Linked DNA regions of Oryctolagus cuniculus. The protein of the gene in region 4 purifies or fractionates together with the protein of the main gene of each other region. This does not show direct contact. Links are inferred from orthologs where the notes say so. Each region holds a gene or a part of one and is shown on either strand. Other genes may lie near its edges. The genes, in order: ZNF428, CBX5, CBX1, POGZ and CHAMP1.

The links.
Region 1: the proteins of POGZ (region 4) and ZNF428 purify together in Homo sapiens (affinity purification with mass spectrometry; 3 studies listed by BioGRID and IntAct, counting the BioPlex papers as one, with this or other methods). This does not show direct contact. The link is inferred for Oryctolagus cuniculus from reciprocal best matches to the Homo sapiens genes POGZ and ZNF428.
Region 2: the proteins of POGZ (region 4) and CBX5 purify together in Homo sapiens (affinity purification with mass spectrometry; 5 studies listed by BioGRID and IntAct, with this or other methods). This does not show direct contact. The link is inferred for Oryctolagus cuniculus from reciprocal best matches to the Homo sapiens genes POGZ and CBX5.
Region 3: the proteins of POGZ (region 4) and CBX1 purify together in Homo sapiens (affinity purification with mass spectrometry; 7 studies listed by BioGRID and IntAct, with this or other methods). This does not show direct contact. The link is inferred for Oryctolagus cuniculus from reciprocal best matches to the Homo sapiens genes POGZ and CBX1.
Region 5: the proteins of POGZ (region 4) and CHAMP1 purify together in Homo sapiens (affinity purification with mass spectrometry; 4 studies listed by BioGRID and IntAct, with this or other methods). This does not show direct contact. The link is inferred for Oryctolagus cuniculus from reciprocal best matches to the Homo sapiens genes POGZ and CHAMP1.

What each region holds. Positions count from the first base shown.
Region 1 is NC_091449.1:12,300,494-12,306,996, forward strand, and holds the start of ZNF428 (zinc finger protein 428), read left to right. Parts: upstream 1-1,724; 5' UTR 1,725-1,867; intron 1,868-4,834; 5' UTR 4,835-4,949; coding exon 4,950-5,025; intron 5,026-6,503.
Region 2 is NC_091442.1:57,212,620-57,218,972, forward strand, and holds the start of CBX5 (chromobox protein homolog 5), read right to left. Parts: upstream 4,259-6,353; coding exon 3,941-4,258; intron 1-3,940. Other genes in the region: HNRNPA1 (heterogeneous nuclear ribonucleoprotein A1), read left to right, coding at 4,737-4,751, 5,314-5,430, 5,654-5,800, 5,935-6,145, 6,236-6,328. UniProt on the Homo sapiens protein: Component of heterochromatin that recognizes and binds histone H3 tails methylated at 'Lys-9' (H3K9me), leading to epigenetic repression. In contrast, it is excluded from chromatin when 'Tyr-41' of histone H3 is phosphorylated (H3Y41ph).
Region 3 is NC_091448.1:24,362,528-24,368,412, reverse strand, and holds part of CBX1 (chromobox protein homolog 1), read left to right. Parts: intron 1-1,905; coding exon 1,906-2,082; intron 2,083-2,396; coding exon 2,397-2,574; intron 2,575-3,158; coding exon 3,159-3,253; intron 3,254-5,885. UniProt on the Homo sapiens protein: Component of heterochromatin. Recognizes and binds histone H3 tails methylated at 'Lys-9', leading to epigenetic repression. Interaction with lamin B receptor (LBR) can contribute to the association of the heterochromatin with the inner nuclear membrane.
Region 4 is NC_091438.1:46,662,246-46,668,130, forward strand, and holds part of POGZ (pogo transposable element with ZNF domain), read left to right. Parts: intron 1-1,220; coding exon 1,221-1,396; intron 1,397-2,289; coding exon 2,290-2,398; intron 2,399-3,564; coding exon 3,565-3,855; intron 3,856-3,931; coding exon 3,932-4,150; intron 4,151-5,885. UniProt on the Homo sapiens protein: Plays a role in mitotic cell cycle progression and is involved in kinetochore assembly and mitotic sister chromatid cohesion.
Region 5 is NC_091440.1:32,834-39,214, reverse strand, and holds the start of CHAMP1 (chromosome alignment-maintaining phosphoprotein 1), read left to right. Parts: upstream 1-2,058; 5' UTR 2,059-2,214; intron 2,215-2,385; exon of another isoform or gene 2,386-3,661; intron 3,662-6,381. UniProt on the Homo sapiens protein: Required for proper alignment of chromosomes at metaphase and their accurate segregation during mitosis. Involved in the maintenance of spindle microtubules attachment to the kinetochore during sister chromatid biorientation.

The DNA.
Region 1 (6,503 bases), on a different chromosome or scaffold from region 4:
TGTTTAAAAAAAAAAAAAAAGAAAACCACACATTTTGTACGGGGCAGGGAGGGGATTGGGGAGGGGGTTTGGCAATCCCACTAACCACCATTAAACTGAGGAGAGAACCAGTGTCGGTGGCTGTGTCTGTCCCTGGGAGGGGAGTTCAAGTGGGGGAGGGGTGGGATGGTTTCTGTGCACTGACCTGGCCAGCGCACCTCACCCACCCGGGAAACGTGGGTTTTTCCTTGCCACTTCTTTAGCCAAACAGTCTCAAAGTCTCAATTCTTTAATAACTACTGAGCTACCTCAGCCCATCCCCCAGGGCCTGGCCCTCCCCTGGCCCCACCTCCACCCCCATCACCCTGTCACCCTCCCTGGCCCTGCCCTGCCCCACGCCCCTCCCGCCTCCCCATCCCCTCTGTATCAGGCCAGAGCTCTCTCGGCACCGGGTTGCTGCGCGTGTTACTGTATTCTAACTCCACCGTGAATCAGGCAAGGGTTAGCTGTCGCGAGAGCTAAGCACTGATCTGAAGTCTGGTCCCGCGCTGGGCACTAAGGACCAGAGTGAACCGCGAGGCTTTCCCGCGGGAAACAGACCTCAGCACAGACTGACCGAGCCAGAACGCCACAGAGGGGGACGCGCCGGTAGGACAGCCATGGGACAGAACACTTCGAACAGGAGCAGGTGGGACAGGGAAGCCCCGGGTACACTTCAAGCCAGCCTCAGCAGCCAGCACCCACCCGTGAGCACCCCGGACTCCTCGACAGCCTCACTCACGAGTGGAGGTGCTGTTACCCTCAGACTGAGGTCTGTGCCAAGACGTGGAGAGCCCCCGAGCAGCTAGCTGTGTGCAGATCAGAGGAACAGCGAGATCAAAGACTGTGTGCGGGAAGCGGAGCTGAGACAGTGGATACAGAGGGTGGGCGAGGGCGGGTCACGTGATGGCCTCCGAGCCCCTGATAAGGAGCTGGGGGTTTTAAGAAGTGTAAGGGGACCCCTAGAGACGTGACAGTCACTTCCTGCGGGGAGACAGCAGCGGCTCCCGCACCGGGCACAGAGCCCGAGCTCGCTGCAGGAGCCCTTCCCCTCCCCGGCTCTGTGTTCCAGGCACACCCGTCCCAAGTCTGACCTCCCGGGGGGGGGGGGGGGGGCTATTTAATCAGACGTGTGAACGCCCCAGGGCTGTGTCTCGTACGCCAAAGAAACCCAACTGGCCGCCTGCTGCAAAGATCACCAAAGGTGCACCCCGACTGAGGGGGCGTGGAGGCTGGAGTGGTCCTCCTCCGCGTCCTTGTGGCCTGTCTTCGGACCGATCCTCGACCAGAACCTGGCCTGCCCGCTTCGCGCCCCGCGGCGGACCTAGTGCGCACGCGCCTCGCTCACAGCCACCGCCCCTCCCCGCCATATGCTAATCACTGCGCTCGGGAGCCCCGCCTCCCCGGGGAATATGCAAATCACCTCCCCCGTGCGGGAGGCCGCCTATTGTCCCGCGGTGGGGTGCGGCGCGCGAGCGGGCCCGGTCCCGCACCCCAGCCGTGCGGGCGCCCTCCGCCCGCGGCGCGCCCCGTCCTGGTGAGACGCCTTCCCGCCACGCACACGCACACGCACGCGCGAGCCCCGCGGCTTCTGTGGCCTTCGGGCCGCGGACCGTACCAAGTCGCCCCGGCCGACGAGGGGCCACGCACCGCACCCCCCGGCGCGGGGCTCGGCTCGCGCGGCCCCCTCCTCCCACAGCGCGCCGGGAATGGTCCGTCTCGCCGCGCAAGCGCCCTAGGCGCCTCACGCCCCCCTGCGCTCGCTCCTGCCCTGCTTGCGGCGCAGGCGCGAGGCCCGGGCGTGCAGCCGCCACCCACCGCCGGGCCGGAGCGGGGGCCGCCGACGACCGTGAGTGTCCGGGGAAGGGGTGCGCGGGGCATGCCGGGAAGCGGGCGCTACGGCCCCGCTGCATGACGGGAGTGACACCTCCTGTCGCCCGAGGAGCGGGCAGCGGTCGGGGCGGCGCTGGCCTGGGGGCGAGACCCAGGTGCCCCTCTCTGGCCCCCGCGCGCCCTGGTCGCGCCCTGAGGCAGCGCGGGGAGACGGGGCACTCCGCCTCTCGGCAGCGTGCCGGTCGTTAGAGGCCCGGTGCTTCCCGGGAAGGGGGCCCCCCGGCTCTCCCATGGCGAACCGGACCCTTTGTCACACACCCACTGTCGAGCATTCTAGGAGCGGGGAAAGCAGCCTGCGGGGAGTCCGCGCAGGGCATTGGGGGACCGGCCCTTACTGTCCCGCCTCCTCGCCCTCGCGTGGCGGGACCGGTGCCTGTCGTGCACGCGGGGCGTCTTGGGAGTTGGTTCCTGTGGGCTCAGGGCGTTTGCGGTGCCCACTGCTGCGCTGCTTTTTATTTATTTTTTATTCGAAAGACAGGGCTTCCATCTGCTGGTTCACTCCCAAAATGGCGGCAACGGCCAGGCGGGAGCCAGGAGCCCGTTCTGGGCCTCGCACATGGCGCATTAGCGGGAAGCTGGGTCGGAGGAGGAGTGGCTGGGGCTTGAACCCCTGCCCGGCCACAACCCGAGGGTCTCGGCTCAGGCCCCGCTCGGATCTGAGGGCCCTCGTGTCGGAGGGGTGGGCATTTGCACCCAGGGCTGGCTCCGCGGGGGTCCCAGTGCTGTGGGCTTGGGAGGGGGCGGGGGCCGGACTGGTGGGCGTTGTCTCCGGGGAGCCTCCTTAGAAGTCCTGGTTGTTCTCGGTGTGCACTTCCTGGGTGGAGGTACAGGATGCCTCCTTAAGTTTGAATTTCCAGTAAGCAACATAAAATCTTTTGGGAAAGTGGGCAGCGGGTTAAGCTTCTGCCTGCGAAGCTGCATCCTATATTGGAGCTCAAGTCCCGGCTGCTCCTCTCCGGGTCCAGCTCCCTGCTAATGCGCCTGGGAAAGCAGCGGACGACGGCCCAAGCGCTCGGGCCCCTGCACCCGCGTGGGAGGCCCGGATGGAGCTCCCGGCTCCTGGCTTCTGCCTGGCTGTGTCCTGACCCTCACGGCCATTTGGGGAGTGAACCAAGAGATGGAAGATTCTCTATCTCTCTCTCCCTTAGAAGAAACTTTTAAAAAAATTACATCAAAAATATGAGTAATGATTTGTTGTTTAACTGAACTTTGTTCTAAGAGATATATTTTTTTAAGATTTATTTATTTGAAAGGCAGAGTTACAGAGAGGCAGAGAGGCAGAGAGAGAGAGAGAGAGAGAGAGAGAGAGAGGTCTTCCAACTGCTGGTTCACTCCCCAATTGGCCACAATGGCCCGGGCTGTGCCTGTCCGAAGCCAGGATCTTCTTCCAGGTCTCCCACACGGGTGCAGGGACCCAGGCACTTGGACCATCCTCTACTGCTTTCCCAGGTCATAGCAGAGAGCTGGATCGGAAGTGGAGCAGCCGGGAATGTGGGCAGAGGCTTTACCTGCTACACCACAGCACCAGCCTCTAAAATTCTTTTTTTATACACACACATATATACTGCCCCCCCTGCAAACAGGGATATTAATATCATAAAGTGAGATTCATGACAATGATCTTAGTGAGGTGAAATTCACATTTCATTGGGCATCCTGTTTTTATGTGCATAATTTGGTCCTCTTTCCTGCTTTTAGGTAGAGTTCCCGAGTTGGGTGGGCCCTGCAGGGTAGAGGGTGTCCTAAGAACACTCCCCGCCCAGATCAGCCGCCTCCTCCAGGAAGTCCCTCAGCCCTCCCCAGCATCCTTATCTTTTGAGTTTCTGGCAGTGAACTTGACCTCCAGACATTGAAAGGGGCCTCGGGTTTTCCATCACTGTTTGGCCAGTGCCCGGCACAGACCTTGGCCTGCAGGACACAGCCTAGGCGGCCAGCCCCTCCACTAACGGCCTGGGCGGCTCTCTGTCGTCAGGAAACGCAGGGAGAGAAGCTCCGTGTGTGTGTGTGTGTGTGTGTGTGTGTGTGTGTGTGTGTGTGTGTGTTGGGGGCGTGGTCTGCAGGTGAGGAGGGCAGTCAGGTTTGGCTTCCTGGAGGGGCACAGGCTCTCTAGGGCCAGGACAAAGGACAGAGGTTCTTAGGTTGGCGGTGAGCTGCGAGGGTGAGTTCCCTGGGGAAGGAGGTCTCTGCTGCTGGCGACCGCAGATGTGACAAGGCCTGGGGTGCACGGAGAGAGGTGCAGGATCCAAACTGGCCGAGTTTACGGGGGCGGAGGGAGGGGTCCCGGAATGCCTGCCCCCTCCCAGCCACCTCCCTGAATGAGCCCCCGACCCACCCAAGAGATCATTTTATGAGAGATGGGAGGACTGCCCGCTGGGTGGTGTGACCTCGGGCCACTTGCTCAGCCTCGGTGCGTGCCTCAGTTTCCCCCATGTGTACAGAGGGGGCAGTCTCTCAGCTTGATTCTGAGGAGCCCAGGAGTGAAGCCCTTAGCTTGACACCACACAGCCACCTTGGCAGTTAGGAGCAGGCGGAGGGTCACAAACCAGCGTCGCCTCATTTAAATATTGAGATCCTTCCTGCCGCCTTATTTAAATATTGAGATCCTTCCCGCCCGTCATCAAATGCACCCCACACCTGACTGCCGCTTCAGGGCCTCCCCCAGCCCCGGAGTTCCCCACAGTCCAGCGACGGAAGGGTTAATGCCTGCCACAGGCTCCTGCTCATCTCCGTTCTGATTGGTGCCGATGCCATTACCTGCCGATCAATATCTGGAATTTTGCCTTCCCCTCCCCCCATGGAATAAGAACAGAGGGGCGGGGCCGGGGCAAGGCTTTGCACGGAGCACCCAGCTGGGTGGGGGTGGGGTCGAGTGCTATGTGAAAATTTATTGAGCTGTCGCCGGCCTTTCCTTTCCCCTGCCCAGCGTCCCTCTACCTGCCAGCACCCCGTATTAGAAGACTCTGTGGCCGGAGAGCTGGCCGGGGAGGGACGCTGCCCAGCTGCTGCTCTTCTGCTGTTTCCCGTCCCCTCCCCTGGCCATGACAGAGACCCGTGAGCCAGCTGAGACCGGGGGCTACGCCAGCCTGGAAGAAGATGACGAAGACCTCTCCCCAGGTGAGGCGACCTTGGAGGTGGTGGCGTTGGTGTGCGCATCAGGGGTCGGGGCTTCGTCGGGAGAGCGCGGTGTGGCCTGGCTGGGAGACCCCTTCCAGCTGAAACCTCCAGGGGCTGTAGGTTGGCCGTGACCCCTCTCCACGGTGGGGGTTCTGGAGCGGCGAGGGCCTCTCCTCTTGCTGGGGGTCCTAGGTGGGGTGCCGCACATCCCCTTGCTGGAGGCTGCAGATGGGCTGTGCTCCTGCTTCTTCCTGGAGCTCCTGGATCGGCCGCGAGTGCTGTCCATGCTGGTGGTTCTGTATCGGCCGCGAGCCCTGTACATGCTGGCGGTTCTGGATCGGCCGTGAGCGCTGTCCACGCTGGCGGTTCTGGATCGGCCGCGAGCGCTGTCCACACTGGTGGTTCTGTATCGGCCGCGATCCCTGTCCACACTGGCGGTTCTGGATCGGCCGCGATCCCTGTCCACACTGGTGGTTCTGTATCGGCCGTGAGCGCTGTCCACGCTGGTGGTTCTGGATCGGCCGTGAGCGCTGTCCACACTGGTGGTTCTATATCGGCCGCGAGTGCTGTCCACGCTGGTGGTTCTGGATCGGCCGCGAGCCCTGTCCACACTGGCGGTTCTGGGTCGGCCGCGAGCTCTGTACGCGCTGGGGCTTCTGGATCGGCCGCTGCTGCTCTCCCTGCTGGGGGTTCTGGACGGGCTGCGGACTCTCCGCTTGCCGGGTCTCGGTTGCTTGTGGCCTCTCCTCTTACTGGAGGTTCGCGGCTGGCTGGGGTCCCTCTCCTCGCTGGGGGTTGTGGACCGCGCGTGGCTGGGAGCTCTCTGTCTGCTGCGGCTCCGGCGCTGGCCGCTCGGGGTCCTGGACCCGTTGTGACTTCCTTCCCTTCTGGGGGTTCTGGGTGGGTTTGGGCTCTCCCCCTTGCCGTAGGTGCTCGGTGCCCTCACCTGGCTGGGAGTTCCCCTCCGGGTCCGGCTTCTCGCTCTGCTGTGATTCCGCTTCCAGCCGTAGCCTCTCAGCCGGCTCTGGGGCCTGTCGCGGCTGACGCTCCTGGCCCTTCTGGGGGTGCGGGACCTGCTGCGGCTGGGGGTGCTGGAGCGGCTGGGACTTGGCGCCGTGCTCGAGGTGCTGGCCTGGATGTAACCCTTGTCGGTCCAGCTGTAGCTGCCTTCCCAGCGGGAGGCGTCCGCCTGGCTGTGGCTCTGCGCCTTCCGCGGGGATGGCGGGGACTGGCTGAGGCCCTGCTGCCGCGAGGGCGCCTGGGTCAGGCTGCGGCTCTTGGTCCTGCTGGGGGTCACGGCCAGGCGGGAGCCGCTGCGCACCGCCGAGGCCCTGGGCGGGCTGTGCGGCTTCTCCTTGCTCACGTTGCCGGCTTGGCTCTGGCTCCTCTTCCTGTTGGTGGCTCGAGGCCGGCTGTCACTCTTCCCCCCACCCTGTTTCTGCTGGGAAGCCGGAGTTCTCGCCCTCTTGGCTGTGCCC
Region 2 (6,353 bases), on a different chromosome or scaffold from region 4:
ATCAGAAATGAATATGCGGCTTACAGAAGCCCGACAAATCTGCATCTCGGGCTCTGTGCAAGCCACCGCTTCTCAGGATGCCCTGGAATCCTTCCTATTGGTACAAGGATCAGTTAAAGTTAGCCCCCAAAAGCAAGGGAAGAAAGTCAAAGTTTGCGTCAGAGAAAACAGATGATTGCCCAGGATCCAAGTTCGTGAATGATGATGTGTAAATAACCATACTAATAACTCAAGTGGTATCTCACACTGTAATTTATTGCTTTTAAAATCAATTACCCAATACAGCCCAGCTTTAGGCCCAATTTCATGCCAGGTGAAAAGAAATAAAAACATCAAGTGAAAGAACAAAAATAAAGGCTAGAAATGCTTTATCGGGGAGCGTTCTTAAATGGGCGATTCCTTGAAGGAACTTAGGCCGTGTGGCCACATAAAACACCTCAACCAGTGCAAAACAGACTCACTAGTGTTCCTCAGAAGCCTCTGTGCGCTGGACATGAAGATTTTCTCTTTTCCAGAGTATTACCAAGGGCCCTGAGAGTCTGCCAGACACAGGAAATTGCAATCACTTCCCACGTCCACTCTTTCCCCAACTAGCACCCTGCTCACCTACGGTTTAGATTGCAGCTTTCTCCTGTTAGCTTTCAGGCAGCAAAGACGTGTTACTTTCCCCGTTGTGAACAACGCGTTTGTAAGTTTAGTCACACCGTTGTATGTTTGTACCCAAGTGCCCTCACACTAACGGTATCGCAACATTTTGTATTTAACTGCCAGGTCTAAGTTTAACAACCAAACCAGATTCTCCGAAAGCAAAATGAGGGAAGGTTTTCCACGTGATAGTCTCAGAATTTCAATGCAAAAAGCACCCTAGGCCGGCGCTGCGGCTCACTTGGCTAATCCTCCGCCTGTGGCGCCGCGGCACCCAGGGTTCTAGTCCTGGTTGGGGTGCCAGATTCTGTCCCGGATGCTCCTCTTCCAGTCCAGCTCTCTGCTGTGGCCTGGGCAGCAGTGGAGGACGGCTCAGGTCCTTGGGCCCTGCAGCCGCGTGGGAGACCAGGAGGAAGCACCTGGCTCCTGGCCTCGGATGGGCGCAGCCGGCCATAGCGGCCATTTGGGGGCAACAGAAGGAAGACCTTTCTCTCTGTCTCTGTCTCTCTCTCACTGTCTAACTCTGCCTGTCAAAAAAAAAAAAAAAAAAAAAAACCACTAAACTTACACCAACAGTAAGAAGGGTTTACTGCACCTATTACCACTGAACAGACCCTCACAATAAAATGCAAAATTTTCACTTGCAGTCGACTAGGAAGTCTTAGTTCAGTTCCTAAAATCTTTCAAAGGGAAAAACATCAGTAAAACACCAAATAAAGGGTCATCAATTGATCTGCTTGTGAACACAAGTGGCTGGTGCTGGAAGAATCCACTCAGAGCAACCTCAGGTGGCCTGACTTGGTTTCCTATTCAGAGCAGTCGTTCCCCGCCCACCCCATGCCCAAAACCATGGGTCTGTAAGCCACTGTGACAGCAGTTCAGTATAAACTGACCTGCCTCGAGAAAATGAAATAGGACATGGAATGTGGGAAAATACCAGAGTGTTTGCACCTTTGCTGTGTGAAACTTGTTTCCATGTACGTACAAAGTCAGTATAAAATATATTTCTTCCTGAGGGTCATAGCTAAAGCAGAGTGACAGTCACTCAAAGCCAGGAAAGAGATTTAAAGTTAGGTGAAATCCTTAACAGGCATCTGAGACAAAATTTACCTTCTTAAAAAAAACACCTTTGCCATTATTTAGGGAGCCAAATTCAAGCAGTCAATCATATAATTAGATTGCAAGAAATATTAAGAATGTTAATGAAGTATCACTTTTATCAGAAGGAACAATGATCCTATTATGTGTCTGAAAGAGATAAGTGATAGGATTTAGTAATCCACTCAGCAAAGGCCCCTCCCTAAATACATCCCACTTTTATTGAATTGGTAAAACAGAGGACTTTGAAAGGATAATTAACTCTAACATCAGCCATTTTAGGTCTGTTTCAAACTGAGATTCCGATGCTTACCCCTCTCAGACCTTTGGCAACGCCTGGCGGCTGTGAGGACAGCGGGGGGGGGGGGGGGGGTGCTGCTGGCTTCTAATAGGTAGAGCCAGGGAGCCCAAGACAGCCCCCACTCCCTGCCCAACAGAGAAGTATCTGGCTCAAAGTGCCCATAGTGTTGAGGATGAGAAACCTTGTTATAGATTAAGACTGTATTCCTTTTAAACCTAAATAAATCCAGGATACCCTCAACCGCTCTCACTTTAGTTATCAGAAGCTCAGCAACTGCACTATCAGCATATCCACAAATAGGTTTATGATCAGGTATGAAACACAGATTTGCCGTTTTTGCAAGTACGGGAGAACACGGAAATCTCTGCTCGGTTCATCACAAGCTCCATTAAAATCATTTGTATTTGCACAAGTGCGGAGAGGTCTCCAATCACAAGTGTACTTCATATGTGGTTGACTTTTATTAGAGTATTTAAAGATTGCTCCCTTGGCTTTAAGTCAGTGAACAATAAAGCAGTAAGACCCTAACACACCCAATATATAATGCAAACTTTTTTTTCAAAAGATCCCTGAATAAGCAGAGAAAGCATTATCAACAGAAGACAGACTACATGCAGAACACCCTCGTAAGGAAATCTAATCAAAAGGCAATGAATACTCCAGGTGATGGATGGGTCTTTTGTCTCCAACACCCTAACGTATCGCCTCCTACAGCGGCTTCCGTGGGACATCCTCAAAGGAACAGCACAAAGAGGGACACGGGAGATCTTTAATGGTGTAAAGAAAGATATGTACAGGAGGGAAAGTCAGAGAAAAAGACCAAGACAAAAGCACGGAGCAGCTAGCTGAGAAGAGAGACAAGGGCGATGAGAAGTATGATAAACAGAAACGCACACACAAAACTGACTTCATTTTTTATTTTATTTTAATCACAAATCGTCACCCCTGTAAAGATTAAACACGGGTCTATTGGAAACCCAGCCTGCCTCGGCCCCGGCGTCGGCAGAAGCAACACACTCCGGACAGGGGCAGGATTCTGAAACTTTTCTGCGGGCCTACGAACACCTTTGTGTCCGCAGAAACAGGCATCCTGAGGTCGCCTTGCCGTACAGTACACAGTGATTTCTCTCATTCGCTAACACTCAGTCCGTCTTCCTAAAACAAGTTCTCTAAATCGAAAGCCCTGCTCGGGTTTCCCCCAAACTCAATGTGGTGGATGCTGGGATGCCCCGACGTGGAGAGCGATGCCAAGCTGCAGCACCCAGGACCAAATTTACGCTTCCGCTACCAAAGAGGTGCACCGGGCGGGGGGCTTCGCAGAAGTCGTAGGGGGGAAAAACCCACCCCCGCACGCCATCACGACCATTGAATCTCCTTCCTCCCCACCCTTTCCCACCAAATCGAAGACCTCCCCGTCCTGGAGAGCCTATTGGACGACCTGTCCGAGAGGCTTCCTTGGGCCGCCCGCCTACTGGCTCCAGATTTGGTCCATCCACTTGAGGGCCCAACTCCCGCCTTCCCCGCTGGAGTCAAACCCACGGCCCCTCGGAGAAGCCCAACCTACCGCGCGCTTCGCGCTCATTGGCTCGGCGGGACGCTGCTCAGGAAGGGAAAACCCGCCTCCCACATTCCGATGGCCCAAAGGCCGATCAGTCGGCAGCTCGAGGTAGACCCAATTGGCCTAGACACGCGCCAGTCAAACGCCTCGGCGGCACAGCTCCACACAACCTACAGGGATGGAATATCCCGCCCCCTGTTCTTCTATTGGTTGGCCCAACCCACCGCTGCCCCTTGACTATCCCCCCACCCCACGGTCCATTCATTTCACACAATAACGGGCCCAACTGGAGCCGGTCCAAGGCCTTGTACAGGTAGACAAGACTCTCTGCCACTTACCCGGGATCGAGAGTGATCACACACCCTAACGTCTGCCCCGTTCCTCTGTGCTGAGGCCGCACCACAAGCCACCGCTGCTGCTGCCTTCTGCGCAACGCCAACCGCCCGCCAAAACGGATCCTTCCCTGCGCCTGCGCAACCAATCCTGGGCCCGGACCCTTTCTCCGCCCACAACGCCTGCGCAAAGCAGCGCGCAACTCCCGCCACTACGCAGGCGCCGTAGGTTAACCGCCTTCTCCCGCCCGCCATTTCACGTGTTTCAAGCGGCGAGCGGAACTCTATAATGCGCATGCGCAAGATCGCCATTTTACTACACATGCGCTCAACAGGCGGTTGTTGAAAAAAACCGTCACATCTAACTACTTTTCTGCTGCTTGGTGTTAATAATGCTTTACCAAACAAATAGGATATATAATTTGGACTAGTAGAATGAAAAAAAAACGTTTAGACAGGCGAAGTACGTTCAAAAATGAATGATTGTTCAGTTAGCCAATCAGGCTGGCTAAGAATAAGATTGCTCGAGGACCAATGGGGTCCGAGGGGTGGAGACTGCGCAGAACGCCCTAACGGTGACGTACGCAGCAGTGCGGCGCCATACACCAATAGTAGAGGGAAGCGATTTCAAATGTCCAATCAGAGCGAGGCAGGGGTGGAGTCTGCCAATGTCGAAAGCGAGGAGGCGGGATAAAAAAGCGAGGCCGAAGGTAGGCTGGCGGATACGTTCGTTGGCTTACTCCTTTCTGCTTGCGGACGCCGCCGAGGAAGCATCGTCGAGTTCTCTCTTCCCACCGCCGTCATGTCGAAGTCAGAGGTGAGGAGCTCCCCTTTTCTAACGTAGTTCTCCCCCTCGTCTCCCTCTTCGAGTCCAGTAGGGGCGGTTTCTTTGCCCGCAGCAACCTTTTCGGCAGTTTGCTCGGTCGCGGCCAAGGCCTACCCCTCCCAAAGTTCAAGTCGCCATTTTGTCCTCGTCGTCGCCATGAGGTTGCGGGCCGCTAGCCCCTCGATAATCACTCCGGGGTCGGCGTCGGGGCAAAATCGTTAGCCATATGGCGATTTAGGTTCAATTTTGTCCCGGCGAGCGGGTTTTAAAAAAGCCTTGATGCCCCTCACGGCGATGTCCCCCTCCCGCGCGGACCTTTTGTTGCGCGCGTGCGTCTGGAGGGAGCGGAGCGGCGCATGCGCTGGAGGCTCCCCAGCCCCCAACGGGCCGCCTCCCCTGATGAGGGGGAGCACGTGGCCCGCTTTGGACCGGAGCGAACAAAAAGTGCCGCCTTTGTGGGGGCCGAGTTGTGTTCCCCACCCCCCGCGTGGAAACGGGGTCGTGTGGTAGCCCGAATTTACAAGAGAAAAACCAATTTTGCTCTCCCGCCCAGTCGCCCAAGGAGCCCGAGCAGCTGCGGAAGCTCTTCATCGGAGGGCTGAGCTTTGAGACGACCGATGAGAGCCTGAGGAGCCATTTTGAGCAATGGGGCACGCTCACGGACTGCGTGGTAAGACTGGGGAGGGCCGGGAGGCGGGGCGTCGGCGGCTGTTCCTGCAGATTCTGTGCGAGGGCTTAAGATCCTAACGGGGCCTGAGTTCTGAGTTAGGAATGGCTCGTTTGTGGCTCTTCGGCCTGCTTTTTGGAAGTTGCGGGAGCGGGGAACAGGAGGACCGCCCTATAACCTCCTACGGGCCCGGGCCTTGTAATAAGCAAATTAACGCTGTCTCCAGGTAATGAGAGACCCGAACACCAAGCGCTCCAGGGGCTTTGGGTTTGTCACCTACGCCACCGTGGAGGAGGTGGATGCGGCCATGAACGCAAGGCCACACAAAGTGGATGGAAGAGTTGTGGAACCAAAGAGGGCTGTGTCGAGAGAAGTAAGTGGGCCCCCAAACCCCCATCGGTTGTGGTAATAGGCTTGCCATTGGGGAGCCATCTGGACCCTTTCAAGTACTTGATAAAGGACACAGATTTTGCCATTTAGAGTAACTCGTGGTTCTCGGCTCGGTAGGATTCCCAAAGACCAGGTGCCCACCTCACTGTGAAAAAGATCTTCGTGGGTGGCATTAAAGAAGACACTGAAGAGCATCACCTCCGAGATTACTTTGAGCAGTACGGGAAAATCGAGGTGATTGAGATCATGACTGATCGAGGCAGTGGCAAGAAGAGGGGCTTTGCTTTTGTGACCTTCGACGACCATGACTCCGTGGATAAGATTGTCAGTGAGTATCAGATCCCAGGCACTTTGCGGGCTTTCTGCAACGCACGTGGCATTCCACTCTAACCCCGGGCTGTTTGTCATCAAATTTCAGTTCAGAAATACCACACTGTGAACGGCCACAACTGTGAAGTGAGGAAGGCCCTGTCGAAGCAGGAGATGGCCAGCGCTTCGTCCACCCCGAGAGGTATGTCTATTGCTTAGTCGGACGT
Region 3 (5,885 bases), on a different chromosome or scaffold from region 4:
GACAGGGAGAGGCATCTTCCATCTGCTTGTTCTCTCCCCAAATGGCTGCAACAGCTAGGTCTGAACCAGTTGGAAGCCAGGAACTCCATTCTGGTCTCCCACATGGGTGTCAGGAGCCCAAATACTTGGACCGTATTCTGCTGCAGGAAGCTGGATTAGAAACAGAGAAGCTGGGACTTGAACTCATGCTCAGATATGGGATGCCTTTGTGGAAAGTGGCAGCCTAACCCCCTGGCCACAATGCTGGTACCGAAGATGTATTTTTTGGGGTGGGGGGTGCTGTGCCACAGTGGGTTAAAGCCCTGGCCTGCAGCACTGGCATCCCATATAGGTGCCGGTTCAAGTCTCAGCTCCTCCACTTCTGCTCCAGCTCCCTGCTGATGTGCCTAGGAAAGCAGTGGAGGATGGCCCAAGTCCTTGCGCCCCTGCATCCATGTAGGAGACCTGGAGGAAACTCCTGGCTTCAGATCAGCTCAGCTCTGGCCATTTGGAGAGTGAGCCAGTGGATGGAAGACCTCTCTCTGTTTCTGTCTCTACCTCTCTCTCTAACTCTTTCAAGTAAATAAAATTAAAAAAAGAAAAGAAAAAAACTTAGATTATATTTGTGGTTATCACCTGTACACACACACACACAGTTTCCAAGTTATTGCAGTACTCCAAAGAATTTCATGGTCATTCTATCATTTTGTGAGTCTTCTTTTGTCTTATCTGAACTGTAAAAATAAACTGAGTAGAATAAGAAGTTCATAAGAAACTTGTAAGGTGTAAATTTATAGTGGCATTCAGGAAAGACTGCATAATGAATAAGAGAACTTTTCAGAAGAGAGTATTGTAGTAATACAGAAGAATAGGGCATATATGCATATGCAAATGGAAAAATTAAGATGCTTAATAGAGCAAACTATTTGCCCACAGTAAAAAGTCAAGTCCATTATAGTGGCAAAATGGAAGACATACAGGGCAGATATTATGATATAGTGGATTAAGCCATGGCTTGGGGTGCCTACTGCCTCTATCAGAGTGCTGATTTGAGTCCTAGCTCCACTGCTTCTGGTCATCCTGGGAGGCAGCAGATGATGGTTCAAGTGCTTGGGGCCCTGTCAAAAGGAGTTTCAGGCCCCTGACTTCAGCATGGCCCAGCCCTGACTATTGTAGGCATTTAGGGAGTGAATCAGCAAATGGAAAATCCCTCTCTCTCTTTCCACCTCTCCACACCCACCTACTCCCCCATCCCCCCATCACTGCATTCAAGTAGATGGAAATTTAAAAAAAAAAAAAACTCCTTTAACAAAAGGAAAATAGAGAATAGGAAACAGTATGGATCAGAGAATTATCTGTATATAAGTTTGATGTGGACATATTATTTTAGAAGGATTCCTATTTCAGTCTAATTTAGTATTTTAGGGACCATAGCATATAAAGTATTTTTTTTATAAAGTTTCTATATGTATTTTGAAAGAGCTACAGAAAGAGATTTTCCATCCACTGGTTCATACCCCAGATGGCCACAATGGCTGGGGCTGGTCCAAGCTGAAGCCAGGAGCCAGGAGCTCCTTCCAAGTCTTCCGCATGGATGGCAGGTGCCCAGGCGCTTGGGCCATCCTTCACTGCTTTTCCCAGCGATTAGCAAGGAGCTGGATTGGAAGTGGAGCAGCCTAACTTGCACCCATATGGGATGCTGGCCCATGTATATAAAAGTTTTTAAATGAATATGCAAGAATAAAAAAGTTTTATCAGTGCTAACTCTGTAGCTGAACATTTCAGAAAAGGTTTTTATATGTTGAAAATAGGCATAACATTATAAGTAGCATGCAGTATTAAAGTCCCCTCTGATCTCCATGATTTTCCAAACATTCAGATATTTATCTAACCCTAATGCCCATTTTATTTCTTTTACCATTTTAGCAGCGTCACCCTTTACACCAGAAAGCTGGCGGGCACCATGGGGAAAAAACAAAACAAGAAGAAAGTGGAGGAGGTGCTAGAAGAGGAGGAAGAGGAATATGTGGTGGAAAAAGTTCTTGACCGTCGAGTTGTAAAGGGCAAAGTGGAGTACCTCCTAAAGTGGAAAGGTTTCTCAGAGTAAGTTTCATTGACACAGGTGAATTTAGTCATCAAGTGTTTATTGGGAATCTAATGATACACAGCTGTGATAGATGCAGTAAAAAAATGAATCATGGCTTTCATGGTTTATGGTCTGACAAGAGTATGACCTACATGTATAGTGCGAAAAAGCAAGATAGGGATTTCTTTGCAAAGAAAATTGATTTTGTCCTGGGCAAAAAGTAGCTGTTCATTAATATTAATTCCTCTTGTCCTCCCTGTATTTATATCCTTTGTATAAGTATACTTACTTTGAAGGAACGTGACTTGCTGTACCTTGTGGTTGGTTTCAGTGAAGACAATACGTGGGAACCAGAAGAGAATCTGGATTGCCCTGACCTCATTGCTGAGTTTCTGCAGTCACAGAAAACAGCACATGAGACAGATAAGTCAGAGGGAGGCAAGCGCAAAGCTGATTCTGATTCTGAAGATAAGGGAGAAGAGAGCAAACCAAAGAAGAAGAAAGAAGAGGTAAGGCTTGAAATAAGGATTTTTCCTAGTCCAGAATTGATAGTACTGTCAAAGAAGCTTCTGAAGACCAAATAATTAAGTTTTGTTATGTCTCCTCAGATCTTAGCAAGCATTTCCTCTCAATCTCCTGTGAAACCCTATGATCTACCCTCATTATCCAGGCTTTAGGAATAACAAGTATAATACTTTTTGAGGACAGATATAAGGGCAAATGAAACGATTCCTGTAAATAGATAGCTTTAATCATTTGATTAAGCATATGATTTGTGGTAACAATTTTGATTTATCCAACACCTTAAGGTCAGTTGTCTTTTGAGGGTGAAGAGAAGTCCTGGAGAGACAGTCGTGGTAAACATTTAGTCTGCTGTTTGGAGTCTATTCCTTTTCATATATGGGAAACCTCAAGCATTCATACCTTGATGAATCACTCCAAAGGATTCCAAAAGGCCTGTTACTAGGAGCCAAAGTATCGATGATCTGTTAGCAAAAGGGTATGCAATTGCACTAAGCAGACATGGGAGTGACTCCAGTCTGGATGACAGTTCCACATAGATCAAACTGCTCTACCTATCTGGTTTTTACAGTCAGAAAAGCCACGAGGCTTTGCCCGGGGTTTGGAGCCGGAACGGATCATTGGAGCTACAGACTCAAGTGGAGAACTCATGTTCCTGATGAAATGGTGAGTCTGCAAGAAATCCCCATCTGTTCCATGCCAGAAGAAACGAGCTGGACCTTCGAAATTCCAGTTGCCCAAGTGTGAAATCTTTAAGATGACATAGTCCTTCGATAGTGACCCTCGGCCTGACTGCCACAATGAACTCATGAGTTACAGGTAGGGGCTCTTAGGATTCTTGATCTTTGCCTGGTTTTTTGAGGAGGTGGGAAAAAAATCCAAATTGTAGAGGGTGAGGGAAGAAATCACATTTCACTTTGTACATGATGAAAGAAAATATGAAATGTGACTGGACCACCCTCCCCTTTACCACCTCCTTAAAGATCTGGCTGGCTGCAGGATCACAGACTCTTCCCAGCGTTAGCAAAGAATTTTTGTAGCTCTTCCTTTGTCCTTGATCAATCCTTTCTAGTTTGTGTAAATTGTGCAATTCCAGGATAAGCCAGCAGGGGTCAGCAGGACCCCTTTCCTGTTCATGAGCATAGTGCAAGGCTGCCTTTTCCATTCATTCTAAGTGTAAATATGGTTTTAGTAATGCCCCATCAAACTACTTAATGAAGACATTTATCTTGAAAATCTTACAGTTTTTAAAGAGATTTATTTATGTATTAGAGGCAGAGAGCAAGAAGTCTTCCAACCACTGGTTCACTCCCCAAATGGCTTCAATGGCTAGAGCTGGGCTGATCCAAACCCAGGTGCCAGGAGCTTCTTCCGGGTCTCCCATGCAGGTGCAGGGGCCCAAGGATTTGGGGCATCATCTACTGCTTTCCTAGGCCATGGCAGAGAGCTGGATCAGAAATTGAGCAGCCAGGACTCGAACCAATGCCCATATGGGATGTCACACTGAAGGTGGTGGCTTTACCCACTACACCACAGTGCCATCCTCAAAATGTGTCGCTTATGGGAGATTTGATACCAGGAATTATTTAGCTAGAATGCATGTTCTCTGCATGTGATCATGTGAATTAAAGTAGTTTATATTACTTAAGACTACATTCCTTTGGTTGACTCACTACTACGTCTACAAATTAAGATTGAATGTTGGGGGGCCAGCGCTGTGTCATAGCAGGTAAAGCTGCCCGGCTGCTTCACTTCCGATCCAGCTTTTTGCTATGGCCTGGGAAAGCAGTAGAAGATGGCCCAGTCCTTGGGACCTCACACCCTCATGGAAGACCCAGAATAAGCTTCTGCCTCCTGGATCCTGGTTTCAGAAGGGCCCCGCTCCTGCCATTGCAGCCATTTGGGGATTGAACCAGAATATGGAAGACTGCTCTCTCCCTCTCTTCCTTCCTTCCTTCCTTCTTGCTTTCTTTTTACAGATTTATTTATTTATTTGAAAGAGCTACAGAGAGAAAGAAAGGCTCAGAGAGAGAGGTCTTCCAACTGCTGGTTCACTCCCCAGATGGCTGCAATGGCTGGAGCTGTACCATTCCAAAGCCAGGAGCTTCTTCCAGGTCTCCCATTCGGGTACAGAGGCCCAAGGATTTGGGCCATATTCCACTGCTATCCCAGGCCATAGCAGAGAGCCGGGTCAGAAGTGGAGCCTCCCTCTCTCTGCCTCCCCTCTCTAACTCTGCTTTTCCAAAAAAAAAAAAAAAAAAAAAAAAAAAGATTGAATAATGGAGTATAAAACTTTTTTAATGATTTCTTTTGGAGAGCGGAGGTATTGGCCCATTTCCAAAAACTGCCAGCATTCTGGTCAATGAGATGGAGTGAACTTAACTCAGGGTGTTGTACATTTGTCAACAAATGATAGCATGCTTCAGGTCCCCCATATCTGTTTTCTTTTTTTAAGATTTCGTTATTTATTTGAAAGTCAGAGTTACACAGAGAGAGGAGAGGCAGAGAGAGAGAGAAGTCTTCCATTCGATGGTTTACTCCCCAATTAGCCGCAACGGTCGGAGCTGTGCCAATCTAAAGCCAGGAGCCAGGAGCTTCTTCAGGTCTCCCAGGCAGGTACAGGCGCCCAAGGACTTGGGCCATCTTCCACTGCTTTCCCAGGCCATAGCAGAGAGCTGGATTGGAAGTGGAGCAGCCAGGTCTTGAACTGGTGCCCATATGGGATGCCAGTGCTGCAGGCTGGGGCTTTAACTTGCTGTACCACAGCACCAGCCGCCCCCCCCCCCCTCCAGTACCTGTTAATAGTAGTACATTTCCCTCCTGTTCTCTTGGGTCCATTGCTCAAAACTACTTTAAGAGCTTACTCTTTTCTGGTTTTTGGGGCTGTGTGGCTCCAATTCCCTGGAGGTTTTGGGGATACCTTATCTGCTGCCTGCTCTATACTGCTGCTTTTACCTAGGGCATTCTCAGTGACCTGAAGATAAGCATGTACTCATGATTCCATTATAATGAGTGAAATTTTCATACTTTAGAAACATTTTAGGAGCCAACATACTGGCACAGAAGTTTAACTCCCAGCTGCTCTGCTTCTGATCCAGCTTTCTCCTAATGTGCTGGGAAAGGCAGCAGAAGATTGCCCAAGTACTGGGGCTCCTGCCACCCACGTGGGAGATGAGGACAGAGTTCCTGACTTCCAACTTCAGCCTGGCCCAGACCTGGCTGTTGTGGAGGAGAGAACCAGAGATGGAAGATTGATCTCTCTCTCTCTCTCTCTCTCTGTTTCTCTCTGTGTCAGGCT
Region 4 (5,885 bases):
ATTGAAGCTGGGTGATCTAATGTGAGGATTTATTATATTTTTATTTGTGCTTGAACTTCTCCACAATAAAACATTTAAATTTTAAATATATATAGTGAATAAATTACCAGGATAGTGAGCATAGGTAAAACCTGCTAGTTTGTGTGTGTTTATCTGTCAGCCTCTGTAATCACCAGTCTGCTGGCCCAGTAACTGAAGGTCTTGTGTACTAATGAGCTCTTAATTTGTAGGAGAGTTTGGGACAAGGCATTGTTGGCCTGTTGATATCTACCTGTGTACCCACTCTTTGGTCATCTCTGTAGTAACACTGACTACATCTGTCAAGTGGAACATAAAGTTCAAAGGACCCATTCCATTCTGATAATTTGGGGTGAAAAGTTGAGGCAATATTATACTTGAATCTTTGGCTTAAGTATATTGATTGGTTCTCTGAAATTTTCTATCCAGTTTTAAGTATTTGTAAATCAAGCTTAGTATTAATGATTTTTTAACCTAATGATATTTATTAATACTTATTTATGAAGAAATCATTATCTTCTGAAGTATCATTTTCATTTAGTGTGGGTTAATGTTTGACCAAGTCTGACTTCTATTTTCAGCCCTGATGACATGAGACAGAGAGAGAGAGAGAAGCCTGTTAATTGTCTGCATTCACACCCCTCTAAAGGACAGTGGCTGTTTAGAGACTCCCACCTTTCTCAGACTTGACTCGCTAGGAAGAGATGTCTTTCTTTAGATTCTGTATACTTGCTTAGTTAATGTTTTGCTGGTGAACATTGCTTTTTCAGGAAGATTAAGAGAGATTAGCTAACAACAAGTTAGATTTTGACCAAATAGTTTTACTTAGCTAAAATATGAAAAAGACTTACATATTCTTTTATTCCACCGATTTGGTGTGAAGACCGTGTGGCCACTTAAATTTTCTTAATCAAGGTAATAGCCACGTAGAAATCTAAAGATGTCTTTCGGCCCTACTTAAGACATACAGGTGGGATATTAGTGACTCTTCCCTACCCACCTCTTTTTCTGTCAGTTGTATATTTGGGTGAAGCTTAAATTTCTGGTGAGTTTGGTGACATTAAAGCAGAGGTGAGTGACTGTCTTGACTATTTGATATGTGGGACACTATTGCCTTTCTAAGACCAGAATGTTTATAAAATGTGGGCTTCGCATTGTTTGTAACATTGCTTTCTCCCCTGCTTCTCCCTTTTACTCTTCAGCTGGCAATCCTTTGGTCCAGCAAGGTGGACAGCCGCTCATTCTGACCCAGAATCCAGCCCCAGGCCTGGGCACAATGGTTACTCAGCCAGTGTTGAGGCCAGTTCAGGTCATGCAGAATGCCAATCATGTGACTAGTTCCCCCGTGGCTTCGCAACCAATATTCATCACTACACAGGTGAGTAAAACTGAGTTCTGGGATTGGTAGAGCAGGGAAAGACTGCCTTGCTTCGGGTTCCTGAGACTTGTCCTTTGACCAGCTTTCTCATTGGCTGTGTGGTAATCGGATACTGATCTTTGTAGAAAGCCTAGCATAGCTTCGTGGCTGTGTTATTGGCTCCTCCATATCCCCTTAGAGGTCTTTTAAATGATTGAATGAAGGTCTGGACAGAAATTAATGGGAAAACTTGGATTAGGAAGCCTTCACACGTGGCTCTAAAACGATTCACCCTTTGCCTTGGGGTTGCTTTTCTTCCCGTGGGGTGAGTTAATTGACTTTTGGAGGTCTGTCTATGAAATTGGGAATATGATGGAGATCTCTGGAAGAGGAGGAGGATGATTTATGTGATATATAATGTGGTGATTTGAGGTTAAAATCCTGATTCTGAGTATGGAATCTAAAGGTGAGTATTTTTCCTGGGGCTTCCTGAGTTTACCCTTTTCATAAACTTGCCAGAGATTTATGGGCTTGAGGCTGACTTTGGTAACAGTTTCTTAGGATTGCTTATGTTGACTCATACTGATGAATACTCTTAGTATTTTTCCTTTTATGCTTTTTAACAGTTTGGAGGCCATTTTGTGGTTACGTTTTTTTCAGCTGCAGCTCTCTTAAATCAGGAAATAGGTTTACATTTTTTGCTCTTACGTGCCAAAGCTCCAGTTTTGGTATTTTGTCACTCAAAAATTTGCCAAATCTCCTAAATTTCTACATCTCAATCATTTAGAAGCTCTTAACTCTAGAGAGAACCGTTAGGTTAAAAGTGTGAAAATTTTTTTGGATACAGGTCATACTGCAGTCTTTGCTAGTGTTAGTGGACTCCATATTAAAGATCATTTTGCTTTTTAATACAGGGATTTCCTGTAAGGAATGTCCGGCCTGTACAAAATGCAATGAATCAGGTTGGGATTGTGCTGAACGTACAGCAAGGCCAAACGGTTAGACCAATTACACTAGTCCCAGGTAAGGAAAAATGTCTCTCCACTTGGAATAAACTGGCATCCAGATTTGCTTTTATTGTTGGAAATATTCTAGGTCACTTAAAAATGTACTGAAAAAAATAACAATCTTAATGATTTAAGCCAAAATTAAAAAAAGTTTCTAACCTTTGGCCAGGGTGGTGGCTTTATTTATTTTTCTGTTTAGCTTTTCACCACCCTTCATGAGGCACTAAAATGGGTTATCTAGTCATCTTCAGTAACTGCTGTTTCAGTCAGCTATTACGTCTATCCTGAAGGAAAATTATCAATACAAACTACCAAATTCTGTACTCCTCAGACATCTGCTCACCTGGTGGGATTATAAACTTTATTTTGCTTTAATTTTATACACAAATTTTAGATATTAATAAATGGAATATATACCCTTTGAATAATACTACCAGTGACTAGATAGAATTTTAGGAATCTAAAGATTGGATTTTTAAAAATCTTACAAATTCCTCCACACATTTCTTGTGTGTAAGTTTACTGTAATTTAGGCCAAAAAAAAATTAGTTGCTTGTAAAGGTATATCTGTAGCTTATCTTGTGAAATATTTGAGTGTTTTCTCAGAACCTGCAGGGTTGTTTTTTTGGCCTTCAGTCTAAGCAGCTTAGCCTATCATGTTCTGATATTTCTTAAATATTTCTCAGTGGAATTGTCTCCAGAGATGTTCTCCTTTGGGACAGTCTACTGGAATGGCACAGTCTGTCTTCTGTGAGTGTATGTATGAGAGAGGACTTTTTCAGTGTTCTGAGAAAGAAGCATCCCTTTTTTCAGGATCAAGTCTGCCCTTTGGCTTATATGCACCCATACTGTCTCCCACCCTTTGTTCTGCAGTACTGCTCTGAAGCTACTGATTGTGTTTAAGGCAGTGTGGTAAGGTGTTTGGGTAGGGGGGACTTGATGGGAATCTTACTCGATTTAATGGTTTTAGGTTACCTAATTTCTGTTAGGGGAATGTATTTCACCAATGTGGACACCTGTATTTTTAGACTTTAGAATCTGTGCTACTCCTAGTAACCTGACAGTTGTCAGTTTGGGGAAATAATCTTTCCCTGTCTTAGTATTTCCAGTCAAGGCAGGGAGCATTTGTTGTAGGTGAGCTTACTGATCAGTATTTGTCTCTTCTTTGTCTCTCTTTTGAAGCCCCAGGCACCCAGTTTGTTAAGCCGACAGTTGGAGTTCCCCAGGTGTTCTCTCAGATGACCCCAGTGAGACCAGGCTCCGCAATGCCAGTGAGGCCCACCACCAACACTTTCACCACCGTCATCCCAGCCACTCTGACCATTAGGAGCACCGTCCCACAGTCCCAGGCCCAGCAGACCAAGTCTACACCCAGCACTTCCACCACTCCCACTGCCACACAGCCGACCTCACTGGGACAACTAGCTGTTCAGCCTCCAGGCCAGTCCAACCAGACCTCAAATCCCAAACTAGGTAAGGCTTGGGAAGACAGTGGCAGAGCTGGGGTGAGGTGGCGGGTGGAGAGCAGATGATCACCTGGTCAATGTAGCTCCCTCCTTCCCCTCTCCACCTGCAGTGAGCATTGCCAGCTTTGTCACTGTGAAGCGACCTGGGGTGACAGGTGAAAATAGCAATGAAGTGGCCAAATTGGTGAATACCCTTAACACCATCCCTTCCCTGGGCCAGAGCCCTGGGCCAGCAGTAGTATCCAACAACAGCTCTGCCCACAGCTCTCAAAGAACCAGCGGACCTGAGTCTTCAATGAAAGGTACAGTAGGCTGAGAACCTCTGAGCAGCAGTCATTGAAAAATTTTAATAAAGTATTTATTTTATACTCTGAGGGAAATAAAAAAGAACATAGTTGCTGCAGTCTGTTTTCACAGATACTAATGTAGTGAAGAGTACAGCCAGTTGTGAAAAGTGTAACCAAAACAGCTCCAAGGAATTCTGTGTATGGATTGGTGAAATGGATTGACTGATCAGAGATGGTTGGAATAATCAAAGGTGGCTTCATGGAAGAAATAGTTTTCTGAACAAGACTTTAAAGTTGGGATTTGGATAGAGGTTTTTGTTTGTTTTAAGATGTATTCATTTATTTAAAAGACAGTTACAGAGAGAGAGCTCTTGCGTCTGCTGGTTCACTCCCCAAATGGCCGCAACGGCCGAAACTGGGCTGATCCGAAGCCAGGAGCCGGGAGCTTCTTCCAGGTCTCCCACATGGGGCAGGGGCCCAGACACTTGGACCATCTTCCACTGCTCACCAGGCACATAAGCAGGGAGCTGGATCAGAAGTGAAGCAGCGGCCGGCGCCGCAGCTCACTAGGCTAATCCTCCGCCTAGCGGCGCCGGCACACCAGGTTCTAGTCCCGGTTGGGGCGCCGGATTCTGTCCCAGTTGCCCCTCTTCCAGGCCAGCTCTCTGCTGTGGCCAGGGAGTGCAGTGGAGGATGGCCCAGGTGCTTGGGCCCTGCACCCCATGGGGAGACCAGGAAAAGCACCTGGCTCCTGGCTCCTGCCACCGGATCAGCGCGGTGCGCCAGCCGCAGCGCACTGGCCGCGGCGGCCATTGGAGGGTGAACCAACGGCAAAGGAAGACCTTTCTCTCTCTCTCTCTCTCTCTCTCTCTCACTGTCCACTCTGCCTGTCAAAAAAAAAAAAAAGTGAAGCAGCTGGAACTTGAACCAGTGCCTGTATTGTATCCTGGCACTGCGGGTGGAAGGTTAACCTTCTATACCACAGCCCTGGCCCTGTGGATAGAGGGTTTCAGTAGGAGGGTAAGAGCATAGTGAGGGTTTTCAGTGGTCTAGAGCAGCAGTTGACAAACTTTTTGTCTAGGGCCCAGCATATTTTAGACTTTGTGCATCATCTGAGCTCTGTTGCAGCTGTTCATCTGTGCCATGTAGTATAGAAGCAGCCACAGATGACCCATAAATTAGTGAATATGGCTGTGTGCTCCACTGAGAATACTCAGGGTCTCTGAAATTTCAGTTTCATGTAATTTTCTGTGTCAGAAAATTTTATTCTTTTATTTATTTATTTATTTATTTATTTATTTTGACAGATAGAGTTAGACAGTGAGAGAGACAGAGAGAAAGGTCTTCCTTCCATTCTACGGCCGGAGCTACGCTGACCCAAAGCCAGGAGCCAGGCGCTTTCTCCTGGTCTCTCATGCGGGTGCAGGAGCCCAAGCACTTGGGCCATCCTCCACTGCCCTTCCGGGCCACAGCAGAGAGCTGGACTGGAAGAGGAGCAACCGGGACCAGAACCCGGCACACATATGGGATGCCGGTGCCGCTGGCGGAGGATCAACCAAGTGAGCCACAGCAACGGCCCCAGAAAATGTTATTCTTTTGCTTTTATTTCAGCTATTTAAAAACATGGAAACCTTTAACCAACAGTGCTGGGAAAACTGGATATTAATTTTTCAGATAATGAAATTAGGCCCATACCTTATACCAAATACAAAAATTAACTCAAATTGGATTGGATCAAGATTTAAAAATT
Region 5 (6,381 bases), on a different chromosome or scaffold from region 4:
GGGAGACAATTTGTGTGTGGGTCTGGAAATAGAAAGCAATCCTAGGATCCTTATGGAATCTTGGGAACTCAAATGGCTAAAACAATCCTGATAAAGAGAATGAAGCTGGAGGATAACATTCTGATTTCAAAACTTGCTCCAAGATAGAGATCAAAACAGGTAGTCCTGGTATAAAGACAGACATCGATACTAATGGAACAAAAGAGAGTCCAGAAACAAACCCTCATATATGTGGTCTTTTGGCAATAGTGCCAAGACCATTAATGGGGAAGGAACAGTTTTTTCAGTAAATGATCCGTGGAAAACTGGATCTCCAGATGCAAAGAATGAAGTGGGACTCTCACCTAATGCCATATACACAGATTAACTCAATGTGGATCAAAGACAACATCTGAAATGATAAGTCTTTGAGGAAAACCACAGGTTAAAAGCTTTATGATACTGGTGTTGGCAGTTAGTTCTTGGATATGACAACAAAGGCACAGGCAATTGAAGAAAAAACATAAATGTACTTCATGTAAATTCATAGCTCAAAAAACACTATCATGGCAAAAAGTCAACCCACAGAATGGGAGAAAACATTTGCAAATCATACATATGATAAGGGGCTAATATCCAGAATACACAGAAAATTCCTCTAACTCAACAACAAAAACCCAAACAACCCAATTTAAAAATGGGCAAAGGACTTGGATAACTATTTCTCCAGATATATAAATGACAAGAGATCACACGAAGATGCCAACATCAGTAATCATTAGAAAAATGCAATGTACAGCAATTAGCTATCACTTGAACTCCGTTAGATTGACTACCATAGAACCACAACCGAAAACCAGAAACTACCCAGTGCAGGTGAGGATGTTGTGCAATTGGAACTCTTGTGCAGCTGCTATGGAAGCAGCACTGTAGTGCCTCAAAACAATTAAAAAGAGTTACCATGGATCCAGTAACCCCACTCCTGTGTAAATATCTAAAAGAATTGAAAGAATCTCAAAGACATATTTGTACACTCACGTTCATAAAAGCATTCACAATGGCTAAAATGTGGAAGCAAATCAAATGACAGATGAATGGATAAGCAAAAGATGGTATACCCATACTATGGAATGTTTATTAAAAGCCTTAAAAACAGAATCTCTGCAGTATGCTACAACACAGGTAAACCTGCAGACATCATGCTAAAGTTAGCGATAAAAAGGTAACATTTCATTGATAGGAATAGTCAGATTCAGAGATGGAAAGTAGAACAGCCATCTTAAGGGGCAAGGCGGGAGGAAGGGAGGTACTGTGCGGTGGGTATGGGGTTCCACCGTTACAAGACGAAAGGGTCGGATGGTGATTGTTGCTCACTGCGAATGCACTTAATGCCATTGGACTATACACCTAAAATTGTTAAGATGATAGATTTTATGCGTATTTTGCCACAGTAAACAGCATCTCAGGGTAGACATCTGGTGCAGAGGTTGACACCCTATCAGGGTGCCAGGGCTGCAGTCCCACGGGGCTGGCTGGTTCCACGTGGGGGACCCACCGAGATCAGGGCGCCCAGTTTCTGGGCCTAGGTCCCGAGCGTTGTGGGCATTTGCGGGAGCGAACCAGCCCTGCGAGCCCTCTGTCAAATAAACAAGCATAATAACTTCTAAAGGAAACGAATGGAAGACATCTGGTCAGTCAACCTAGAGTGAGCTCGGAACCAGGTGCACGCACCCTCCCCGCTCGCGGGACGGAGGTCCGGGAGCCTGAGGAGAATGTTCGTCTCCGACAGCTGTCCCGGACGTCATCGCGGGCGCTGGGCCTGCCTTTCTTCCCTAACTCCACTCACACGACAGCACGAGAAACGCGAGAGAACGCGAAGCAGCACCGAGGCACGGCCCGCTCCGAGCCCCCGCCCACTCGGCCAGCTCCCGCGCGCCGGGCGCGGCGGCACTTCCGGGGCGGGCGCTGCGCGCGGCACTTCCGGGAGCCGCGCCGCGCCGCTGCTCGCGCTCGCGCAGTGCGCACGGCCGCGCTTGGCGATCGGCGATCCAATTGGCCTGCGCGGCGCCCCACTCGCCTCCCGGCCGAGCGCGCGCACGCCCGCGCCCCCGGCGCCGGCCCCTGCGTCCCGTCGCCATTCGGAGGCCGCGCCCGCAGGCCCCGCGGAGTCGCTGGCGCCCGAGCCGGGCCTCCCCGCCGGCCTCGCCCACCTGGACGCCGCCGCGGCCGGGACCGGTGAGGGGCGGGGGCGGGCGCGGGCGGGCGGGGGCGGGGTCCGCGCCGCGGACTCCGAGCGCGGGGCCGGCCGGTCCGAAGGCAAGGTCCGCCGGCCGCTGGCGTCCCGGGCAGCGGGAAGGACCCCTCCCCGGAGGCGGGCGTGGGTCGCCATTGTGCAGGGGGCGGGCGGGCCTGGGGCGTTTTGTGTAAAGCGGAGACGGGCTCGGTTTCGGCCCCCGAGGTGGCTGTCTTCTCGCGCGTGCGGGGCTCCTGCCGCTCGTTGTGCCCGCAAGCCCGCTAGGCAGGCCACAGCCCGGGAGCGGACGTTTGCAAATCCTAACTCGGGTGTAGGGTCTGTACCCGGGACACAGGACTGCACTGGGCAGCGCCGCGTCCGGATGGGTATTTGCCCGGAGACGACACCCGGAGGGCGGGTTAGCCGTTGGGAAGCTGCAGCTAACCCCCCGCGAGGGCGCACCTCACACCTGTTAGGGTGGCTGAACACAAAAGGCACTGGAGTGTGGTTGAGGAAGTGAAGTCGGAACTGGGCCCGTTGCCGGTGGAGCCCCGGGCCGACCCGCAGGGTGGGAGGCCGCCGCTCGGATGCCGACCCCGGGTACCAGCAGAGCAAGCTGAGGTGGTTACGTATCATCCCCAGAAGCAGTGAGCCGCTGATACTTGGCTGTGGGATGGATGAACCTTTAAACATGTTAAGTGAAATAAGACACAAAGGGACAAACACGGACGATTTCTTCCACTCAGGAGACCAGGCTGTGGGAAGCAGGGAACAGGATTGATTGCGATGATTAAAGAGTTCTGGAAATGGATCTTGGTGATGGTTGCTTATACTTAACGGATGAAGTTGTGCTTTAAAAAATGATAAGTTTTTGGTTCAGGTTTCCCGCACTTTAAAAAGGTAGAACTACAGAGATATTGAAAAGACTGGTAATTGTTAGGAACACAGGGAATTTTCATGTTGGTGAAATTACTGTGACTGTCATGGTACATGTGTGACTGTATGTCTGCCAAAACCCATGAAATTGCAACATGAAGACTGGCTCCTCTAAGCTGTTAACCCGAGTTAATAACAGACCAGTGTTAGCCATCCCAACTGCAGGATGTTAAGGAAGGCTGGGCAGGGGATTGGGAGGATGTATTGGGGGTTTCTCTTCTTTCTGTTCAGGTTCTTTTAAACAAAATTACTTGAAAAATAGTGTTTAAAAGTCAAAGCGGGGTGCAGAATAGTGCTGGTGTGTGTTTAGACGAATAGAACCCTTCAAATGTGCATGACATGTTGACTTTTTTATTTAAAAATCTACATGAAAATATACTTAAAAAATGACCAGTGGTGTTAGATTTCAAGGAAGAAATTGGATGGGAAATGGGAATTGATGTGACAGCACCTGGACCAGCAGTGCGTTGAAGAATTCTGAGTGATGGGCTGGCAGAGCATTGTTTCAACAAGGTACAGCCTGTAGAGACAGAAGAGAAAATTTCATTACCCTGGACAATTTAGACTTTTTGTCTGAAATTAGAAAATACATTGACTAGAATCTTCCAGCTGGAGGGACTCAATTCTGTGACTTCGCTGTGTGTCCTGTGCTGAGGGAAAGGCAGCCTTGCTGTTACAGCGGAGATCTAGAACCAGGAATCCAGGGTGTTCCTTTGCTTCCTCTGACCTAATCCTTATCTCTGACAGGTCGCTTGTCTCAGAATCAGCTTTCTCAGTGGTAAAATGAAGAGGTTGGTCTCAAGTCCTGTGAAGATCAGTAGCTTCTAGTCACGGAGTGTTACCACTGGACCAAGAAGCTTGTCTAGTTCAGGATGGAGTAATTTGTTTTCTTACTGGCTTCTGCTTGTTGCTTCTAAGGAGACCTTAGACAACATTCATAATTCTTCCCCCTTTGAAGTGAAATGTTTGTATTCACAGACATGTTTTTAAAGACTGCTGCCATCATTGTTGCTTGCTGCTGCTTTTTTAAAAAAATGTATTTTCATTTATTTGAAAGGTAGGGTGGGAGAAAGGACATATCATTTTAATCTCCAAACTGTATCTGTGAATTACATTGAACCTGATAAAAACTTAAAAAAAAAAAACCAGAAATTAACAAATCACAATAATGAAAGATCCAGGAAAACTCAAGATACTAAAATTAAACCACATCATCTAAATAAAAAAATGAAGGTAGTGCAATAGAAAGATTTTCCATTCATTAGTTCATTCCCCAAATGCGCACCACAGAATCTGGGTCTCTCATAGGGGTGACAGAGACCCAACAACTTGAGCTATTGCTGCTGCATCAGCAGGAAGCTGGAATCAGAGGCAGAGCTGGGACTTGAACCCAGGCAGTCTTGACATGGAATGTGGGCATCTCAAATGGAACTTTTTTTTTTTTTTTTTAAATTTCATTTTATTTATTTGGGAGGCAGAGTGGCAGAGAGATGGAGAAACAGAAAGAGATCTTTTTGCTGTTTCATTCCCCAATTAGCTGCATTGGCTAGGGCTGGGCCAGGGTGAAGCCAGGAGCTTGGAACTCTATCCAGGTCGCCAACATGGGTGGGAGGCACCCAAATACTGGGGCGTTTCCCCCTGCTTTCCCAGGTGGAGCTGGATTGGAAGTAGAGCAGATGGGACTCAACTGGTGCTCAGATATGTGATGCCAGCTTAACCTGCTGCACCACAACGCCAGCCCCATAAGTGGAATCTTAACTGCTAGACCAAACACCCACCTGTGTTGCTTTCTTTTGATAAGTGGATTCTAAATGTTTGATGAACTTAATTTTGTGAGTTTTGACCTATTGTACTGGCTTTTCAAGATCTTACTAAATTCTACTATATTAGCTTGATCTTGATATACTGAAAGGACCTGAATCGATAGTAGAACTTTATTCTTTTATTTGCCACATACTGATCATTTGCCTGATCTTGGGCAAGCAACATCAAGTTTGAGCTTCCTCAATGGTAAACTAAAATTTTCTTCAAAAAAAAAATATGCTTATTTATTTTGAAAGGCTGAGTTAGAGAGAGAGGAAATAGATCTTCCATCTGCTGGTTCACTCCCCAGATTGCCTCAACAGCTGGATATGGGCCAGGCTGAAGCCAGGAGCTTTATCCTGCTCTCCTACATGAGTGGCATGAGCCCAGGCACTTGGGCCATCCTCTGTTGCTTTCCTAGGATCATTAGCAGGAGCTGGACTGGAAGTGGAGCAGCTGGGACTTGAACTGGCGACCATATGGGATGCTAGTGTTGCAGGCAGTAGCTTAACCCACTAAGCCACAATGCTGGCTCCAATTGAAGATCTTTTCCTGCCTTCAAATTCTATGATTTTGAGACTAGATGATAGTTCAGATTGTCTCTAATTTTAAAACGGAATTAATGTTAAGATTGTGTCCCCAGTCTTCATGAGACAAGGTTAAGATCAGACAGATATTTTCTGAGCACACAGTGTGTGCCAGGATGTGCACAGTTACAGAGGTGAACAAACAGTTGTGTAGCCCTTGTTCTTTGAGAACCCGTGACCTGATTTGGAGTTAGGCTACAGTGCTAGAGGGTGACTGCTATGTTGGAGGTATGCATGCAGCTGGGAGGCCAAGGAAGGTTGGGAGGGAGTGGGAAATAGGCCCTTACTTAAAGAGACAGGTGTCTGAAGGATGCAAGAATTTGCCTGATTGCTGGGGGACAAGATGGGAAGTGTAAAGGAGAGGGAACATCTTGTGAATAGGCCCAGAGGCTTGGAGAGCTGGAGGATTACACATGGGCCAGTACTTGGAAAAAGTGGTCTAGTCAGGGGCCAGACTGTGAGGAGCTTTGGGTGCCACGTTCTAATTTTGCAGTATAGCTGTTTGGGACACTTTAAGGAATTGTGAGCAGGAAGTCACATTGGGCTTTTATGTTTGGAAGGTGACTTTTTTTTTTTTTTTTTTTGACAGGCAGAGTGGACAGTGAGAGAGACAGAGAGAAAGGTCTTCCTTTTGCTGTTGGTTCACCCTCCAATGGCCGCCGCGGCCGGCGCGCTGCTGCCGGCGCACCGCGCTGATCCGATGGCAGGAGCCAGGTGCTTATCCTGGTCTCCCATGGGGTGCAGGGCCCAAGCACTTGGGCCATCCTCCACTGCACTCCCGGGCCACAGCAGAGAGCTGGCCTGGAAGAGGGGCAACCGGGACAGGAGCCGGTGCCCCGACTG